Linked DNA regions of Cricetulus griseus. The protein of the gene in region 1 interacts with the protein of each later gene in a pairwise test. Links are inferred from orthologs where the notes say so. Each region holds a gene or a part of one and is shown on either strand. Other genes may lie near its edges.

Evidence for each region.
Region 2: the proteins of Zmynd19 (region 1) and Kctd13 interact in binary tests that used the Homo sapiens proteins (3 or more experiments, as listed by UniProt). The two-hybrid records come from large-scale screens. The link is inferred for Cricetulus griseus from reciprocal best matches to the Homo sapiens genes ZMYND19 and KCTD13.

The regions. Positions count from the first base shown.
Region 1 is NC_048599.1:136,306,059-136,309,870, reverse strand, and holds part of Zmynd19 (zinc finger MYND domain-containing protein 19), read right to left. Parts: intron 3,580-3,812; coding exon 3,473-3,579; intron 2,880-3,472; coding exon 2,739-2,879; intron 1-2,738. UniProt on the Homo sapiens protein: May be involved as a regulatory molecule in GPR24/MCH-R1 signaling.
Region 2 is NC_048596.1:73,818,163-73,822,074, forward strand, and holds the start of Kctd13 (BTB/POZ domain-containing adapter for CUL3-mediated RhoA degradation protein 1), read right to left. Parts: upstream 2,514-3,912; 5' UTR 2,337-2,513; coding exon 2,093-2,336; intron 542-2,092; coding exon 372-541; intron 1-371. UniProt on the Homo sapiens protein: Substrate-specific adapter of a BCR (BTB-CUL3-RBX1) E3 ubiquitin-protein ligase complex required for synaptic transmission.

The DNA.
Region 1 (3,812 bases):
TGAAACCCTTTAAAAAGTATTTTCTGTCAGCTAGCAGAGTTGTGGCCCAGAAGGGGGCCAAGGATGCATCTAAAGCTGGCAGCCAAACTTGCTATGAATAAGAATCTCTCACACGGTAATGGTTTTGGCAGCATGGAAGTTTCAGGACTGAAGAGAGCAGCTGAGACCCAGGAGAGGCCACTGGCTAAATAAGACACAGCCTTAGTTGGAAATCCCAGGAAATGCAAGGACTGTGGGATAAGCACCAAGGACAAACGTGGAGCAGACCTAGCATGAGACTACAAAATAAGCTGTGGCATGCATGGAAGGCAGAGCTAGAAGTGGTGCAGAGCTGCCCAAACCCTGTGGAACCCAGAGATTAGGAGTGAGACTCACATGTCTGACATCAAGTTATTTATATGTTGGCTTTTGGTTTTGTATTAGTTTATCAACATTAGATTTTGGAGACAAATGAAGGGAGAATGTGCTAAATTGGCAAAGGATCAATTATGCTGGTTAGTTTCTGCCAACTTGATACAAACTAGTCACTTGGAGCTTCAAGGAGGAATTACCTCTATCAGACTGGCCTGTAGGCATGTTTGTGTGGGCATTTTCCTTTCTTTCCTTTTTTTCCCCGAGACAGTGTTTCTCTGTGTAGCTTTGGAGCCTATCCTGGCACTCGCTCTGGAGACCAGGCTGGCCTCGAACTCAAAGAGATCCGCCTGCCTTTGCTTCCTGTCCCTGCCACCAAGGCCCAGCTTGTGTGGGTATTTTCTTGAATGATGATTAATATAGAAGGGCCCAAACCACTGTGGGTAGTACCACTCTTAGGCAAGTTGGCCTAGGCCATGTAAGAAAACAAGGTAAGCAAGCTATGGAGAGAAAGCCAATAAATAATATGCTCCCAAGTAGTCTCTACTTTAGTTCTGCTTCCAGATTGCTGCTTGAATTTCTGTCCTTAATTACCTCAATGATGGATTGTGACATGAAGGGTAAACCAAATAAACCATTTCTTCCAAGTTGCTTTTGGTCATGGTATTTTATCATATTAACAGAAACCTAACCAGGACAGTCCTAATATGACTGCTGCTGACCATAGGTGAGTAAAGCAGACTCTGTATGGGGCTTTGGAGAGGCATGGCTGACTTCTGCACAGGTGCCATTTAACTGAACCCCTTCTCACTCACAAACAAACAAGGACACTGAACATCCTCCTCTGACTCCATGTGCCCACAGCCTCAAGCATTTCCCTCCCTGAAACACATGAATCCATTCTTTCCCTCTACACCTGCTTATACACATACCAGATATGCTTCTTGGGTCCTGGTCCAATCTGAGCCTGTCTCCACCAGCAAGAGGTACTACCTACTGAAGGGCTCAGCTTCAACCAAACTTAGCCCAAAACTGGCTGAGCAAAGGGCCAATGGGCCATCTGACCACAAACCTCAGCCCTCTACCCCCAGGACTGTAACTGCCCTTTCCCAAATGGAGGTTTTTAACTGTAGTTGTTATATCTCATGATCATAAAGTATATTCAAAAGATTAAAGACCCCACTCAACCACAGGATAGTCATACCACCCTGGGGGGACCCTACTATTAGTAAATTCAAGGCCAGTCTCAACTTCCCAGCTACATAGCAAGTTGAAACCAGCGTAAGCTAAATGAACCTCAAAAAAAAAAAAAAAAAAAAAAAAGAGGGGTAGGAAGGGAGAGGTAAGACAAAACTGAAGACTCAAACCTCTGGTATCAGAGTAGGAAAGAAACCAAGCAGATTAGAAGTTTGAGCCTTCACAGGGTTGTCTTCACACTCTGCAAGAGTAGATCAGCAGTTTGGCAACTGTCTTCTAAGAACCTGGATACTGACACTAAACATCAAGTGTAGAAGGCTGGGTCCTCCCACAGCTTCTATCTACAGTACATGGAGCTCTAGCATCACCTGAAAACAATCGCTACAAAGATCTGCCCACTATCTACAACACCGACCTCATCAACGCTACTAGCATCTGTTGAGGTGGTCAGTGCCAAGGAAGGTTGCTGAGACTTAAGGACATGTATAGAAAACTCCCAGAAGCCCTCAGGGGAGGCCTAAGAACAGGTCATTGATACCTGTGTGGCTTGGGACTATGGGCTCAAATTCCCCTAACCATTTCTTGCTGGTCCCTCAGCTTTTCTCCAAAGCTTCATGAAGTTCACTGTGGCGATCAGGGCCAGCTAGAACATGATCTCCAGAATAGAAAGCTTGTGCAGTGTTGTTTTCAGACCACAGGGAACTGGGAAACCAAGAGGCCCAGGCCCTAAGCCACTGTCGAACTACTTCCTTTAAACCATTGCTCAGGGAAAGCTGTTCAGCAAAGGAACACGACAGAGACCCTTGTATGTGGTCTTGGGGTATGGTCTCATTCCATCACATTAGCTAAAACGTTCCTAGAGCCAATTACACAAAAACCACACCCCATCAATCCCAAAAATTAGTCATAAAAATTCTTCTAGCTAAGCATGGGGGTATATATACAACTTTAAACCTAGCACAGAGGCAGGAGTCTATCTGCCTGATCAACATACTGAGTTCCAAGGCAGACAGGGAGATTCCCCACCTCCAGAAAATTCTTCCCTCTCCCATGAAAAATGCTCCCCCCAAAACTGACAATAGCAGGTAGGATATCAAGGTCCCAAAACACTCATAATAAAAGCCTAAAATAGGAACACAGAAACATGAGATGGCTATTTAGGTGCCAGGTGTTGGCCAGGAAAAACCCACCTTTGTTTGCTGGAGGTCTCTTCAGCTTTGGGTCGCCAGCCCCATGGTACCAATTGCAGGTTGTCCAGGCGATTGTCCACAGTCACAGAATTGAGATGTACCACCTGAAACCCGGGAGCCACACCTCCCCTATGTCGTTCCCTAGGGAAAGAATTTTTGTCTTGAGGGAAAGACCCTCAAGCACTTCTACTTGAGCATGAATGTTCAACCACACAGAAATGTCAATCATGTAGTCTGAACTGGGCCCTTACCCTGCCAAAGGGGTATACCAAGAAGAAGCTAAACACAAACAGGGGACCAGGCTGATGATTCTGTCCCTGTATTTAAGGGCTTTGCTCAGAGGGTAATGGATAGAACCCCCCAAACCACCAAAACAATCTAGAGACAAGTTCCCCTTCAGGAAGGTCTCAACATTTCAAACCACCTTATACACCCAGGATCAATAGTTCATTTTCTTAGGATGTAGCCTGACTTATCAGAGGGATCAAAAGCAGAACCCCTTCTTCCATAGATCTTGTCTCATCAGAATCCCACCAGTTGTTTAAAGTGGTATGTACATTAGTCACTCCTTTGGGTTAGTGGTAAAGGTCACAAAATAAACTCCCAGACTTAGGGAAGATAAGGTTGAATCTGACTCCACTGGCTAGAATGCTCTCTAGCATTTAGGCATATTGTGCATATCAGAGCTCACATGGAGATTAGGTGGGGATATTTATTAGCTGGAAAATACCCACCATAGCAGCTCATGCAGAAGCCTGCCCGAGCCCCTTCCTCGGTTTTTGTCGAAGGCATATGCAAATATCTTAGCACCATTTCCATCAGCATCTACTTCCATTCGAGCCTGAGAAGAAGCACAGAGCAGAGTAGGTCTGTTGGAAAGCCTCCAACTCACAGCAACATTTCAAATGTAGCTTAGAAAAATGTCAGAGGTACAGATGACATCCTGCTTCAAGGACCCAAAAAGTACTGGGGCTTCCTGTTCCACTCAAGCAAGAAACCCTCAACAGCTTAGGAAATATTATGGACACCAAGAAATAAATTTTTCCCCATTTTAAAAAGGTACAGAAAAGCGGT
Region 2 (3,912 bases), on another chromosome or scaffold:
AAAGGAGAAAACTGGCAGAAAGCCGTCCTGTGACTGACTTCTTCAAGCACTCCAACTGAGGCTCAAGCCTTCAGAGCAAAGGAGAGGATGAGCAGGGGTTGTGTTTAATGACTCAAGAGGTAGTAAGAGCTGGGCAGGAACAGCTGCAACCACAGAGCAGGGTTTTCTAATGAGAACAGTCCTGACACCAGGTGTATTGCAGCCCTGCCTCAAGGGGCAGGGGTGCCTCGGAGGATAGTACCCCAAATCCCATAAGCCTGGGGGTTATGCCCAGTCTGAGCCAGGCTCTCTAGACCATCTCTCTCTAGCTTCTGTTGTAATAGCTATCTAATGGATAGCTCCCCCAAGAACGGAAGCACAGGGACTCTCACCTGCAGTGCCAGCTGACAGTCTTCAATCAGGCCCTGGACCAGGTAGTACCGAGCTTCACCCAGCAGCTCCCCGAGTTCTCTAGTACTCTCAGGCAGTGGGACTGACCCATCCCGCAGGTAGTTAAGGATTGTACCAAAGTGTCGGCCACTCCGGTCAATCAGCACCCAACCTGGTGGGATGGGAAAAGGCAAAAGGAAGGATTGACTCTAATACGTTTTGAGAAAATGAATTCCAAAGCCAAAAGAAAACCTAAATACTTACCTGTGTCAAACTTTTGCCTTATCCAAGAACTCTTTCAAACATCTCCTGCCACAGAACACCTGCCACACACCTGCCACAGAACAACTCCCTCCCCAAGTCTTCTGGACAGTCAAAAGGCTCTCACCATGGGCAAGTCTTTTTGTTGTTGTTTTGTTTTGTTTTTGTTTTTCAAGACAGTGTTTCTCTGTGAAGCCTTTGGTGTCCTGGATTCTATCTGTAGACCAGGCTGGCCTCAAACTCACAGAGTTCCACCTCCCTCTGCCTTCTGAGTGCTGGGATTAAAGGTGTGCAGTACCAGCGCCCGGAGCCAGTTGGGTTTTTGGTTTTTTTTTTGTTTAAGATTTATTTATTTATTATGTATACAGTTTTCTGCCTGCTCGTCAGAAGAGGGAATCAGATCTCATTATAGAAGATGGTTGTGACCTGCCATCTATTTGCTGGAACTTGAACTCAGGACCTCTGGAAGAACAGCCAGTACTCTTAACCTCTGAGCCATCTCTCCAGCCTAGAGCCAGTTGTTTTTAAGGCAGGATCTCACTATGAAGCCCAGACTGAGAGCTGGCATTATAGGCATGTGCCAACAAGCCAAGCTTACAGTGGGAAAATTCGTACCGAATTACCTATCAATAAACTTAATCCCTTCTGCTATTTTTAACCAATTCATTTAAGTGAAAATGTCCACCTCAACCCTCTAGTTGACCACAATAATAAAATAATGACAACATTATTCAAAGAACTTACTCTATGATTACATGTGATTTTCTGGTTTACTGGTCATTCCCACCCAATGCTCTCCCTGGCCACCCCACCCCCACCCCCGTGGTAACTTTGTAAGACTCATCAGATCCCTTTAACCAAACCTTCTCTAGCACTAATTGACTCTTCACAAATACTTATCAAATAACTGATCTCTTCATCGCCAATATTTGAAATCTGAACTTCACCTCCTAAGCGTTTGCTTTCATCTTTGTTAATACCTTCCCAATTTTAAAGGCAACACTCAAAGAAGGTTAAGGTTAACCTGCCAAGGAGAGCTGCACCCTTCGCTCAGGTCCCTTGTAAACCCAAAGCAGTCTTCTCCTTCTACAATCTGCATTTATAGGTGATTCCTAGAGAGTGCAGGGGCATGTGTTAGAAACAGACACACAATATCGTTCAGTTCTGCAGGCTGCCTGTTGGCGGTTCTAAGGCAGAAAGGCAAACAAAAGGCTGGGCAGTGGGAAGAAAGTGGTAAAGGTTGTCTGAGGGGGGCTGCTTGCAGCAGGGCTGGTTCCCAGGCTTTCTGAACTAAGGGGAGAAGAGAAGATCATCCGCAATGGAGTGTTGGGCAGAGGTTACTGCTGGAAGTAAAGGACTGGGGAAGGAGGAAGACTTTGAATAAGAAAAAGATAGGATGGGACGGGGAACCGGGAACGAACTGGGGGCTGGAGGGCAGCACGTGTACCGGCGGCACGCATACCTCCGGCGTCTGTGAGCACCTCCACGCGGCCGCTGAACATGGCCTTGAGCATGGTGTCCTGCCCAGTGAGGGTGCGCAGCGTGGTGTAGTGCAGCGAGCCGCCCACGTTCAGCTTCACATACTTGCTGTTCGGGGTCAGGGGCTTCAGACTGTACGAGGGGGAGCCAGGCTCCACACCCGAGGGCTTAGGGGACTCCACACATCCGGCCGCAGCCGCCGCCGGGCCAGAGGCCTCGGCCGACATGCCAGTGAGCGGACGCGGGGGCAGTCGCAGGCTCTCTCCGCGTCCCGGACCGGCTTTCAGAGACCCCGCGACTCCAGCGCGGGCGCCCGACCGCTCGGAGCACACGCCCACTCGCCGCCGCTACTCCGCGACGTCCACCCTCCGCCCCATCGTGCGCTCGCTCCACCCGGAAGCCGGCGGGGGCAGCTGCGCAGGCGCGGCAAGCCGGGGCAGGGGGCGGGGCCGGGGCCAGGGCCGGGGCGGGGCCAAGAGCTGGAGCAAGCGCGATCTGCCGGTGCCTTGGCGGTCTGGCGTGCAGACAGACGTTCTCGGGGACGTCTAGATGGAGAAAGTGCCCGGCGCCGTTGCTCCTTGTGCGTGTGAACGGAGACGACCTCAGCCCGTGACGGTCTCAGTTTGCGGAGCGCTTCACTCGCGTGAAAGAAACCACGTACAGAGGTCTGGACGTTGGCCATGGTTTTCCCTACCCCACCACAGTGCACTTGACAGACTCTAGGAAGAACAGTCAACAGAAACCAAAGAAAGTTCTCCAATGAGGCCATAAGGCTCCCAGGGGAAGCGGCACTGGAAGTAGGACGCCCAGGTTGAAGGCTTAACGGATAAGGTGATTGTGAAAAGAAGCGTCCAGGGATAAAGACAGTTTCAGGCAGAGAAGGGCGAATAGAAACCTGAGCCAGGTGTGACTGTAATTCCAGCCCTCCAGGCTGAGGCAGGATGACAAGTGAGTTCCAGGCCAGCCTCGGGTACATAGTCTTACCTGTCTCAAAACAAAAGGAGAACGATTAGGCAGGAACATGGAGATTGAAAACATACAGCCGGACAGGCTAGTGAAGATCTTAGAATCCCAGCTGGCGGGAGACCTACGGTAGAATCCCAAAAGAGAAGAAAGAAGGCAGAGTGCACTGTGGACCAGAGAAGGTGGTTTTGTTTGTTTGTTTGTTTAGAAGCTGATACCTCGGCCTGTCCTAATGTCTGGAAGGGAGGTTTGCTGCATGGAAAACCAAAGTCAGCATTCTAGTTTCCACCTGATCACCAACCGGAAGATCTGGGCAAAGCTGCTCTTTCTGGGTCCAGTTGGCTCTTTTAGTGTGGGAGCAAACCTGTTTGCCATGGACAGGGGGCGGTTTGGAGAAGCAAAGTGGACCTATTGGAAGGTATTAGAAAGAAGTGTAATGAGGGGACTCCATGTTCTGACAAAGGGGGTTGCCTATCCTGCCCCCACCGCAAGTATGGCAATGAAAAAGTAGTTCCTGGCAGCTGGCTTGCACTCTCTTGCCTGAAGCAAGAGAGTGGTGTTGCCGGGAGCCAGGCTAGCACCAATAGTGAGGCCGTGGTGGTGTCAGCCAGTTCAGCACAATTTCACAAAACACCAATTTCAGACAAAGTTACACTCTGGTTGATAAAAAGACTTTTCCATAATCATGTCTGAACACAAGACACATAAATGACCAAACACAACCACCTCCTACAATTTTTCTTCTGACTCTTTATTATAGGAGGTATGCAGGGTCTTTGTACTCACAGATACACATTATGGAAGCAGTTCTGAACCTTTGGGTCTTCACCCCTTTGGAGT